Linked DNA regions of Mus musculus. The protein of the gene in region 2 purifies or fractionates together with the protein of the main gene of each other region. This does not show direct contact. Links are inferred from orthologs where the notes say so. Each region holds a gene or a part of one and is shown on either strand. Other genes may lie near its edges.

Region 1 (4,602 bases), on a different chromosome or scaffold from region 2:
ACACAGACAGAACTGTCTCCCCACTCCATCATGCACGGTGCTCCTTCTGAGTGCTCCCTGGAGCAGCACTGCACTCTGCACACAACGAGGCAGTCCTAACTGCAGAACTGACCTTGTGCTTTATGAAGGAGTATGACTGGGGGTGGAGATGTGGCTCCATTCCTGGCAGTCCCTAACTAGGCCAAAAGTAAGCTATAAAAAACTCCTGTCCTAGTTCTGTGCTGAAATACGCCAGACCCTCTTTATCCTGAAAAGATGCTGTAAACGTAAAACCGCCAAGCACCTCAAAGCTCTGTCAGTTTGAAGGCTCTGCACTCTGTGTCTGCAGCCCATCAGGGAACATACGCATCAGAGACCCTGGCAGTGAGCTCAGAAAGCTGCTGGCAACCATCCACGAGGGTTTTATTCAGACAGGTTCTCATGTAGCCCAGGATAGCCTCAAACTACCTACACAGCTGTGAATAACTTTACAGCCTGGTTTTTTTTTGTTTGTTTGTTTGTTTTGAGACAGGGTTTCTCTATGTAGCCCTGGCTATCCTGGAACTCACTCTGTAGACCAGGCTGGTCTCGAACTCATAAATCTACCTGCCTCTGCCTCCCCAGTGCTGGAATTAAAGGCGTGCGTCACCAATGCCCGGCTTCAGTCTGTTTTTTTTTTTAACCTTAAACTTTTAATCTGATTCCCAAGTGCTGGGATCATAGGTATGTTGGAAATATGTGTGAGTCCTAGGTCCAATCTCCAGCACTGTTAAAAAATATTACATAAACGGGACTTGGTAGCACATGCTTTTAATCTCAGCACTCGGAAGGCACAGACAGATGGATCTCTGAGTTTAAGGCTAGCCTGATCTACAAAGTGAGTTCCTCTGAGTGGCTACACAGAGAAAAACCCTGGCTCAGAAAACAAACAAAACATGAATAAAATGAAAGCAAGCTCAAAGCCCACGCTAGCCTGCCCTGGACTCACTCTTCCACTCATCTATGAGAAGGTCCCTGCTTTCAAAGGACTGGTCATAAGGGTCAGCAACAGGCTCATCATCAGGGTCGTGGTACTGAGCAAAGTAGGCATGCGCAAGAGCTTGGGCTGCTGTGATCCTCTTATCTGAGTCCAAAACGAGCATCTTCTCCAGTAGGTCGACAGCTGTCACACCAGAAAAGAGGAAAACACATGACATCAGTGCCACCACTGTGCAAGTTCCAAGCACCTTTCACATCCACACAAAGCATCCTTTAAGGTGTCTGCTTCTGCATGTAACCCCTTCCCTCCATGTACGCATTGAATGCCTATGGCACATTTTAAAAACATTACTGAGGTTCTGGGTTTGAAACCCAGAATAATAAACAAACACCCCCTCCTACCCCCCAGCTCTCCTTCTCCATCCACCTTGGTTTTCATTTGTGGACACTGCAGGTGTGGCACACCACCATGGAGGCTTCCTTCCCCTCTCCTTATGCTGTGTGCACTCTCTCCCATTTCTCTCTAGTCTTTACATTTACCACCTCAATTGTTGGTAAGAGTGAAATTAGGCATACTGGGTGAGACCATGCCACAGGTGATGCTGTGACCTGGGGCACCACAGCCAGGAGCTCCATTTATGCTGAGCTAAGGTGGTTGGCATCTTGAGCTCTTCCCCGTTTCTCCCCAAGTGAATAATATGGGGAGATGGTTTGTCTCCTGGTGATTATCAGTTACTTTCAATAATGGCTTCCAGGTTTTTTCTCTCCCAAAAGTAAAACAGAAATAAACTCCACAAGTTTTTAGATTTAAGGTTTTTTTTTCTGTTTGTTTTTCGAGACAGTGTTTCCCTGTGTAGCCCTGGCTGTCTTGGAACTCACTCTGTAGACCAGGCTGGCCTCGAACTCAGAAATCCGCCTGCCTCTGCCTCCTGAGTGCTGGGACTAAAGGCGTGCGCCACCACGCCCAGCTAGATTTAAGTTTTAAGTATGTCTCCACTACAGTGCATGCCTGCTGGCTGAAAATCTAAAAGCCAGCAGAGGGCGCTGGATCCTCTGTAAGTGTAATTAAAGACAGTTGTGAGGCATCCTGTTGGTGCAGGGACTCAGACCAAGGGCCCCGTTGGCCATCTCTACAGCTCCAGATGATTTCTTCAGCGTGGAAGGCTCCATGGGTGTCGAGGAGAACTTCCTGAAGAGATGCTATACCTCTGCTCCTCTGAGTGATTATGTACCCTGTAGCCTGAACACCAGTTATCCACAGAAACGCAGGCTTTGAGGGTACAGAGGAAACAGCAAACATGCATACGCTGGCTCTCCAGTTTTAGAGTGCTGGAGGAGGGCTGGGATATAGCCAGTAAAGTTTGCAAAGTGTGCATAAGGCCTTGGATCTAAACCTAGCACTGCAGACAGTGAGCATGGTGGCACAACAGGCCACATGACTCTGTCTTCAACACTGAAGCACTGGTGGACTTCCTGGATACAAATCCTCACGTTCTACAAATCCGCTGACTTTATACTGAACATGAATGAGTGGGTGCCTGCTACCCTGGGGTAAAAAGAGGTCCACGTCCTCAGGATCAAAGCACTTAGATGAGGAACAAGGTCAGAAGTAAGAACAAGACTTTTCAAGTATGGAGGCAGACATAAATAGACACTCTAAGATCAAAGGGCAATGTGAAGTTCTCAGCTGTGTCTTGAGGCTAGCAGTGATGCGAAGCCTGTGACCGACAACAGGGCTGTTAATATTTATATCGCTGGTGTGCAGCCTGTTGGGGACGGCTAGGCTAGCAATCGGTAACAGCATGTTCCTTCTGACCAGCACTTGGCAATGGGCTGCCAGGCACGTTTGGATGTGAGCAGGCTGTGAAGAGCACCAGATGGGCCAGAGCCTCCTTTTAGTCTCCAGCAGCCTGGATTCACTCCTGTAAGGCAGCTCTTCTCAGTGTCTAAATGGGGATCTCTACCAGCTCCATCAGAGAAGACTCAGACACTGTGTACCGCACATCTGCTGGTGAGGATTCAGGGGTGGAATCAACATGGAAAGATTAGAGATCACAGAGACCCCAGACCCTTATCTGATGCAATAGCTCAAGGTAAGTTACAGAGAGCCCAGTGAGCCTGACAGGGAAGCCACAAACCTAACCCAACCTGTCAGTACCATGTACACCTCAGGCCTGAATGGTGTAGCATAGGCTGGACCCCCTCCTCCAAGAATGCACACACCTCTCCTGCTACAGGAATCATTGCCACAGCCACAGCCACTCCTCAGTATTGTGGCTATGGACAGAGTTCGTGAAAGCTTCCGCTCCCAGCTTTTGAAATCACTGCCACAGACATCAGCCCTTCAAAGGATAAGTAACTCTGGCACATGGCTTCTAGAACCCTCAGAAAGGGACATGACCCACGAAGACTTAAGTGCAGTGACTTTACAGTAACATCTGCAGGAATGGGAGAGGCAGGGGACAGCAGCCACCACCTGCTTGTTCCCTTCTCATGGCAGGAGACGGTGGTGGTCTGATGGCTCTGTATCTACTACTGCCTACTACACCAGAGAGAGGAATTAGAACCTTAGCACACTGTCCTGTGCTGACACAATCTGAGCTACCACTGTCACTTCCTCTGCCAGGTGATCCTGGAGGTAATGGAGGCAGGAAGGCAAGGAGCCAGCCACCAAATCAATGCTGCAAAGGCAGCTGCTTACACCCTGAAGGGCAGAGAGGGGAGGAAAGGGGGACGAGTCTGTGAGTGTAGAGGACATCAGGACCCACTGCTGGGCATTAACCATGTGTCTGTGCCTGTTTTCTGTCCTCAGCTGGGCTCCACCTACCACTAGCAGCTGTAAGGTTCACACCTCCTTCCTTCTCCCCCAAGTCCCCATAATTCCCTGTTCCCCATTCCTCACTTCCCTTAGCCTCTCCACCATATTCTGCAAGCATATAAGCATACAAGCCTATCACTGTATGATATTTCCTTATGTGACAATACAGACAGACAGTAACAGCTATATTTATTAAGACCCAAAAGTTACTTAAAGATAGTACTCTTTTGGGCTGGTGAGATGGCTCAGCGGGTAAGGGCTGCTCTTCCAAAGGTCCGGAGTTCAAATCCCAGCAACCACATGGTGGCTCACAACCATCTGTAGTGAGATCTGACGCCCTCTTTTGGTGTGTTTGAAGTCAGCTACAGTGAACTTATGTATAATAATAAATAAATCTTAAAAAAAAAAGGTACTCTTTTTAGTCAAAACCAAAACTTCAAATTTCTAATTTATACCACAAAATCAAAGTACGATCAACTCACCCAGGGGATTGGCACCAATAAATACATTTGCGAAGTTCATCTTCGGCATCTGGGCCAGAGACTGAATGTAGTTTCTTGCCTGTAAAAACACAGACTTTCAGAATGACTATGTTCAGTAGTGTTAGTGATCTCAGGGAATGAGCTAGGCTGAGGCCCGTATGGACCACTGTCTGGGATGCTCAATTCAGGCTTACTCTTCTTCTAGCCACTGACCCCCTCTATTTGTGACCACTGACTTTATTCTTGCGGTCTCCCCAGAGTTCTGTTTCCTGTGGATGAGAGTGATAATCAATCAGCTACTCTTTACTAGCTTTCTGGTCAAAGGGTCAGAAGCTTAAAACCAGA
Region 2 (7,140 bases):
GTAGGAGGCAGGGTCATCTGGAAAGGGTCTGCACCCTACCCGGTCACACCACCCATGCACACCAGACCAGAGGCCTCAGTGGGGGCTGAGAGTCCTAAGAGGCCCTCTGCCATATCTCTCAGGAATACACCCCAGGGAAGCTGTGGGTGGGGTGACTATACACTTGAAGCTTGAGAGAGCTAGACTCTGGTCACTGGCCTGGGTCTTGAGGTAAGATATGAGGAGAGAAAACTAGGCCTCTCTGCTGCTTCAGCCCCGTGCCATGATGGGCCCTCCCACTCTGACTCCCAGATCCTTCCCTTCTAGAAATGTGTACACTACTGGCCCACAGAAGAGGAAGCCTATGGGCCCTTCCAGATCCGCATCCAGGACATGAAAGAGCACCCAGAATACACTGTGAGGCAACTCACCATCCAGGTACCTCCCCCTGGGACAGACCAATGGGAGGTTTGGGCCACCCTAGTATCTCTGAAACTCAGGCTCCACCTTCACTAAATTTACTAAATTCGCCAAGTTTACTAACTTAAACCTTGATCTCACATGATGTTCCTTTTTTTGTTTGTTTGTTTGTTTTTGGTTTGTTTTTGGTTTTTTGTTTGTTTGTTTGGTTGGTTGGTTTTTCGAGACAGGGTTTCTCTGTGTAGCCCTGGCTGTCCTGGAACTCACTCTGTAGACCAGGCTGGCCTCGAACTCAGAAATCCGCCTGCCTCTGCCTCCCGAGTGCTGGGATTAAAGGCGTGCGTCACCATGCCCGGAGGTGGTTCACACTTTTAATCCCAGCACTTGAGAGGTAGAGACAGGTGGATCCCTGAGCTTGGGGCTAGCCTGGTCTACAGTCAGTTCCGGCACAGCCAGGGCTACACAGAGAAACCTTGTCTCGAAAAACTAAGAGAGAGAAAGAGAGAGAGAGAGGTGGGTACACCCCTCAGGGGTACCTCTAATTAAATAGGGATGCACCAACTAACAAAACAGAGGCCACCAGGAAGCAACCTCTCCCCGTGCTCGAAATCTGGGCCCCAGGAGACTAGAGAGCCCCAGGGGAATGCTGGGAGATTCAGGAGAAGTCAGATGAGATATGCAGATGGACTTTAAAAAATGCTTTCTAGGGGACAGAGAAAGGGCTCAGTGGGTAAAGGCACTTGCTGCCAAGCCTGCTGTCCTAAGTTCAATTCCAGAACTCACATGACGGGAGAAGAGAACTGACTGGAACAACATAGCAAGATTCCTGTCGAGAGAGAAGGGAAGGAGGGAGTGAGGGAGGACAGAAGGAAGAAAGGAAGGAAGGAAGGAAGGAAGGAAGGAAGGAAGGAAGGAAGGAAGGAAGGAAGGAAGGAAGGGCTTTCTGTTAAGGTACACATTCTTACACTTCCAAATGATTTCTGTATCAGTTCGTTGTTCCCCAAGCATCCTGGGAGGCAAACAAAAAAGATATCACTGTGCCCACTTCTAGGGAAGAAAATGAGATTATTGCACTTATCCACAGTCCCACAATAGATAGAGGCACAGCCAAGACTTGAGCCTGGGCTAAGCTGAATAGCAAAGTAGCCAGGAGACTCACCCCTGCATGCTGCATCCCACTGTGCATGATTGATCGATAGATCACAGCACCCACACCCACATCCCACGTCTTGAGCCTTATTCTCCTGGTTTCTCACACCCCAGCACCAACAGGAATGCCGTTCAGTGAAGCACATCCTCTTCTCAGCCTGGCCAGACCACCAGACTCCAGAATCAGCGGGGCCCCTGCTGCGCCTGGTGGCCGAGGTGGAGACTCCAGAGACAGCTGCCAACTCCGGGCCTATAGTGGTTCACTGCAGGTAGGGACTTCCCTGGTCCCAGCGCAGATCCAATGCTTGCCTTCTCTGCTCACTAAGTCTCTGGTGTGGAGGCATCCAACGCCACACCAGACAGACCCAACTCTTACCTAGACAGAGCTCTGGCTTGTGGGAAGTTTCTAGTGAGGTAGAAATGAGATAAACTCCGTCCCCACTGTTGAGGAGCCCGTTTAGGCACCAGATAACATTTTCGTTGGCTTAGGTCTTTTAGTGTTGGGATTGGTTTTGTTTTTTGCTGGGTTTGTTGTGTTGTTTGGTTTTTTGTTTTATTTTTTGTTGTTGTTGTTGAGACAGGATCCCTCTTTGTGCCCAAGGTTAGCATCAAACTCATGGCAATCCTCCTGCCTCAGCTTCTCAACCTCTCAATCTCAGTTTGGGATTACAGGCATGAACTGTAACGGGCTTATTGGAAACCTATTATTGCTATCATCAGGCACAATGTTAAATACTAAGACGATAACGGTGAACAAAACAGTTTAGTTTCTTCCCGGGCAGGTTAATAGACTAGTCAGAAGAGTAGCAGATTAAACAATGAAGCAGACCACAATTCAGAGAGAGCTAGATGGAGTAGTATAGAGGCCACAGGGTAAGGTCACCTAATACCTGAGAGAGAATAAGCCTCTGAAAGGGGGAAAGGAAAACGTTCAGGCAGAGAACCTTATATGCTCAGGAAATAAACTTTAAAACAAAACAAAACAAAACAAAACAAAAAAGATACACTGTCAGGAGGGTCAGAGAGGAGTCCCAAGCTTGTGGGTGGGTGGAGCTTGTTGTGGGTGGAGCTTTGGGGGGCTTTGTGTGGGTGGGGCTTGGTGTGGGTGGAGCTTGTGGGTGGAGCTTGTTATGAGTGGTGCTTATATGTAGGGACACTGATGGAAAACAGTATGGAAGGCAGCTAAGGGCTTCATGAATCGGACTTGCATGATTGGCTAAGACACTTAGATTTGCCATTTTGTTTTGGGTTTTGTGATGCTGAATCCAACACCCCAAATCTACCATTTAAAAGCAATGCCTGGGGCCGGGCACAGCGGCATATTCCTGTATTCCCAGCACCTGGGAGGTAGAGACGGGAGTACCAGGAGCTGAAAGCCTATCTAAAGTACATAGGGAGTTCCAGGCCAGCCTGGGATATATGATGTTTTGTTGAGAGGGAAAGAGAGGAGGAGGAGGAGGACGAGGAGGAGGAGGGAGAAGCAAACAGTACACACAGGGCATGCTTGGACCCATGCAGAGGGCGCGCGCGCACACACTTCAGTGCTGGAAGTCACTAGTGGCTTCTACACACCCCAGTATACACCTCCTTCTACTGAAGGCACATGTAAGACTTATGTGGGGAGCTGAAAGCCAGAAAGGGCAAGAAGGGGAGGGGGTGTGGGAAGAGAGAAAGGTGATGGAGCTGAGAAGAGGATAATGGGATGGGGGCCCTGGAGCATCTGTGGAAGCTCACATGGAGCTGGGAGGAGGCTGTGGTCAGAGAAGGAACGCTCTGGGGGACAGCCATTGCACAGGCAGGTGCTGTAAACAGATGTGATCACCACCGTGTGCGCTGGACTAGGGTGTGGCAGAGCACACTTGAGGCCGAAGCAGTAAGACTGCTAATCAAAGGTCAGTCCTGGCTACATGACTAGACCCTATTATCAAAAAGAAAAGAAAAATCAGGGGTCACCACGGTGCCTCCATGGGTAAAGGCACCCGCAGTCAAGCCTGACATCTGAGTTCAATCTCTGGGCCCTACATGGTTTAAGGACAGAACTGACCCATGAGAGGTCTCTACTGGAGCTTCACATAGGTACAGTGATGTGTGTGCATGCATGCACACACACACACACACACGCACACACACACAGAGAGAAAGAGAGAGAGAGAGATTAAAATAAATAAAAATATAAAAGAAAAAGAAAGAAAAAACAACTGGAAAAAGTACAAATCTGGGCTTCAATCCCAGCAATTGGGAGCAGAGGCAAGCAGATGGCTGTGAATTTGAGGCCAGCCTGGTCTACCCAATAAGTCCAGGGCCAGCAAGGGCTACAGAGAGAGAATCTGTCTCAAATAAACAAACTAACAAAAAAAAAAAAAGACTTGATATGGTGGCACTCTTCTGTAACTCTGACTGTCCTGGACAACCAGGACTCAGGAGGCTGAAGCAGGAAGATTACAGTGAGTTTAGGATAGATAGTAAGTTCCAGGCTTCCCTGGACTTTAGAGTAAAACTCTATCGGGGGTGGGGTGGGGTGGGTAATCCCAGAACTTGAGAGGAAGAGGCAGGTGGATCTCTGAGTTCAAGGTCAGCTTGCTCTACATAGTGAGTTCCAGGACAGCCATAGTGAAATCCTATCTTTAAAAACATTAATTAATTAATTAATTAATTAATTAATTAATTAATTAATTAATGGTGAGCTGGACTAGGCATAGAGTGAGAGTAATAAGGGCTTACAGACTTCTCCTGCGTAAGCTGGTTTCTGCCTCCACCAGGGATCCCAGGGATGCTGGAATCGGAGATGTGCAAGTCCCACCCCACAAACAGAGCACTTTAATACCATTTCTTCTTTCATCACGTGAAGCCTTGCCTCAACCTTCCATGCTCACTTGTCTCCCCCATTCCCTGGTCTCCTGTGACCTCCCCATCCTCTCTCTGGTTCCATCCAGTGCAGGGATCGGCCGGACCGGCTGCTTCATCGCCACCCGCATCGGCTGCCAGCAGCTGAAGGCCCGAGGGGAGGTGGATATTCTGGGCATCGTGTGCCAACTTCGACTAGACAGGTGGGTCCATGGGAAACAGGTGTGGGCGGCCACAGTAATTGACAAGGACATTGGTGGCTCCGAGGTGCACATCACCTGCAGGTCCTCCTGGAAGAAAGCAAGGAACTTGTTTTATTCAAAAGAACTTTCTAGTTTGCCAATAACTAAGCCCACATGAAAGATGGTCTGAAATGTTAGCGTGGGGGCCTGGAATTAAATATGTCACCCTGAATTTTCCCTCAATCTCTCCTGGCCCCCAAATTCTCTACTCAGGAGAAAGCTAGGGAACAAGTTAAACAAAGGGTAGTATGATGCTGCATGTTTGTAAACCCAGCACTCAGAAAGCAGGGGCGAGGGTGGGGAATGTGAGGTCAGAGCCTTCGCTTGCTGCTTAGTTAGCTCAAGGCCAATGAGGCTACAGAGGGCAAGCGTCTTGACTTTTTTTTTTTTTTTTAAAGAAAAGATACAACTTGTTCTAGATACAAAGTAGCTATGGGTATAGTGGTATTCACTGGGCTTGAAGATGGAGAAGCCAGTTCAGACTCTGGGGTATATGCTACTAGCTGCTACGGTAATTCTGTAGCCACTCCCCCAATACACACACCCTTTTTTTTTTTTTTTTTTTTTTTTTTTTGAGTCAGAGTCTATGTATTCCTGGCTATCCTGGAGCTCATTGTGTAGACTAATCTGACCTCAAACTCACAGCCTGACTCTGCCTCCTGAGTGCTGAGATTTAAGGTGTACACCACCACTGCCCTGTGGCAATTGAGAGGGGTAAAGTCTACTCCCCCAACTGGAAGAAGAAATGGGTTCACTTCTTGAGTGTTTTAGAAATGAGACCTGTTCTACACATGTGGGGCTAACGGTTCGTTTTTAAGATTACAAATGAGAGAGTTGAGCATGGGTCTGATTTTGCTGAAGAGCTGGCTGGATAAGAGACAGGAGACCAAGAGTCACTTCCTCCCTTGGGGCTGTCCTGGCAGAGGACAGTAAAGGGGAGTAGGAAGGGCAAGGGTGCCTATGGGGAGGAGAGAGTCAGGGCTTCCCTAGCAGGACAGTGAGAGAGGATGCTAACCTTAGCACAGTGCAGGTGTTCTTGACTCTGACTCTTGACTCTGCTTACAGAGGAGGCATGATCCAGACGGCCGAGCAGTACCAGTTTCTGCACCACACTTTGGCCCTATATGCAGCCCAGCTGCCCCCGGAGCCCAACCCCTGACCCTCCACCAGCTCATGGGTCTCTCAGGCCTGAGACAGTGGGTCTGGGGAAGTGGGCTGTGAGCTCTGGCATGGCTTCTGCATCCGCACAGGAAAAGGATCCCTGGAATACTTTACAGTCTCAGGAAACTGCCCCAGCAAGCAACAGGAGCCAGGCCACGGGTCTTCACCTCCAACCACGACTCTGCCTTCTTCAGTGGCCCCCAGTGGAACATGCGGGAGCGTCCTGTGGCTCTGAACTTACAGATAGGAGCTGGTCCTTGCAATGGATTGAGAGAGCAGCTGGAGTGCTGGCTTATTTAGGTGCTTTCGGTGAGCTCCCTTCCTTGTCCATGACACAAAGAGTCAGTCAAACAGAATGTTCCTGAAAGCCATTCCAGATGTAGCCCTGCTGATGCGGCTGCAGAGATGGTGATTGCAAGATCCTCTTCCATTAAGGCCTTTCCCACACACAGGCCAGATGCAACAGCAGGGAAAATCCTGGTCTGACCTTGGTCAAATCTTCTCTATCCTACATAGACTGCTCCTCCCCATACACCCGTGAGTGCTGGAGGACCGGCTCAGAAGAGAATAAGGGCCTTGATTGGCCTGCCTCCATACATATCATAAAAGGAGATGCAGAGGTAACCAGCTCTAGCCGTTGGGATCACTGTATGAGCCCAGAAGTGATGATGTACCTGTCATCCTAGCACTCAGGAGTAGAAGCAGGTGGGTTGCTGCGAGTTTGAGGTCAGCTAGATCTACATTTTGAGTACCAGGCTAGCCAGGACAACATAGCAAGATTTTTTTTAAGGCAATCTTGAGCTCTCTGCTCTCTGGAGGAGATGAGGGTTGCCTCTGCTTCTATGGCTTCCTTCCTGTCATCTGCTCCCAACCACTCTCTGGGGGAAAACCCAGCACTCTCTGCTTTGCTTCTGTGACTTCAGAGCATCCTTTGGGTACCCATGAAGTATCAAAGAAAGAGGAGAGAAGAGACAAAGAGCTATGTCTGCTTCAAGAAAACCTACCTGCCGTACCTCCCCTGGCTTGTATTTCTTTGCAGAGTGCTTATCTGGTTCCAGAAGCAGGCTGGGTGGTCACCACTCCAAGCAGCATGGGGCTAAGACCTTCAGCCCTCATCATCATCACTTCACAGAATTTCCAGGGAACTCATGATCTATCTCAGGGATGAACTATGAATCCCAGAAAGCCAGACAAACCCTGAGTCTCCCTTGACCCGGATTGGGCTGCCTGTGGGGGGGAAGGCAGAATACTATTCCTACTGTCTGGTCCTCAGCTCCTGGATGTGCTAAGTGACACAAGTCCTCCATGAAAACCCCAAGGAGTTGGAGGAGTGACTGCCTCCTTG

Evidence for each region. Proteins that work in one complex are often made in the same cells at the same time.
Region 1: the proteins of Ptpn7 (region 2) and Mapk14 purify together in Homo sapiens (affinity purification with mass spectrometry; 3 studies listed by BioGRID and IntAct, with this or other methods). This does not show direct contact. The link is inferred for Mus musculus from reciprocal best matches to the Homo sapiens genes PTPN7 and MAPK14.

The regions. Positions count from the first base shown.
Region 1 is NC_000083.6:28,741,522-28,746,123, reverse strand, and holds part of Mapk14 (mitogen-activated protein kinase 14), read right to left. Parts: intron 4,337-4,602; coding exon 4,258-4,336; intron 1,142-4,257; coding exon 968-1,141; intron 1-967. UniProt on the Homo sapiens protein: Serine/threonine kinase which acts as an essential component of the MAP kinase signal transduction pathway.
Region 2 is NC_000067.6:135,137,462-135,144,601, forward strand, and holds part of Ptpn7 (tyrosine-protein phosphatase non-receptor type 7), read left to right. Parts: intron 1-306; coding exon 307-417; intron 418-1,662; coding exon 1,663-1,817; intron 1,818-4,481; coding exon 4,482-4,595; intron 4,596-5,699; coding exon 5,700-5,793; 3' UTR 5,794-7,140. UniProt on the Homo sapiens protein: Protein phosphatase that acts preferentially on tyrosine-phosphorylated MAPK1. Plays a role in the regulation of T and B-lymphocyte development and signal transduction.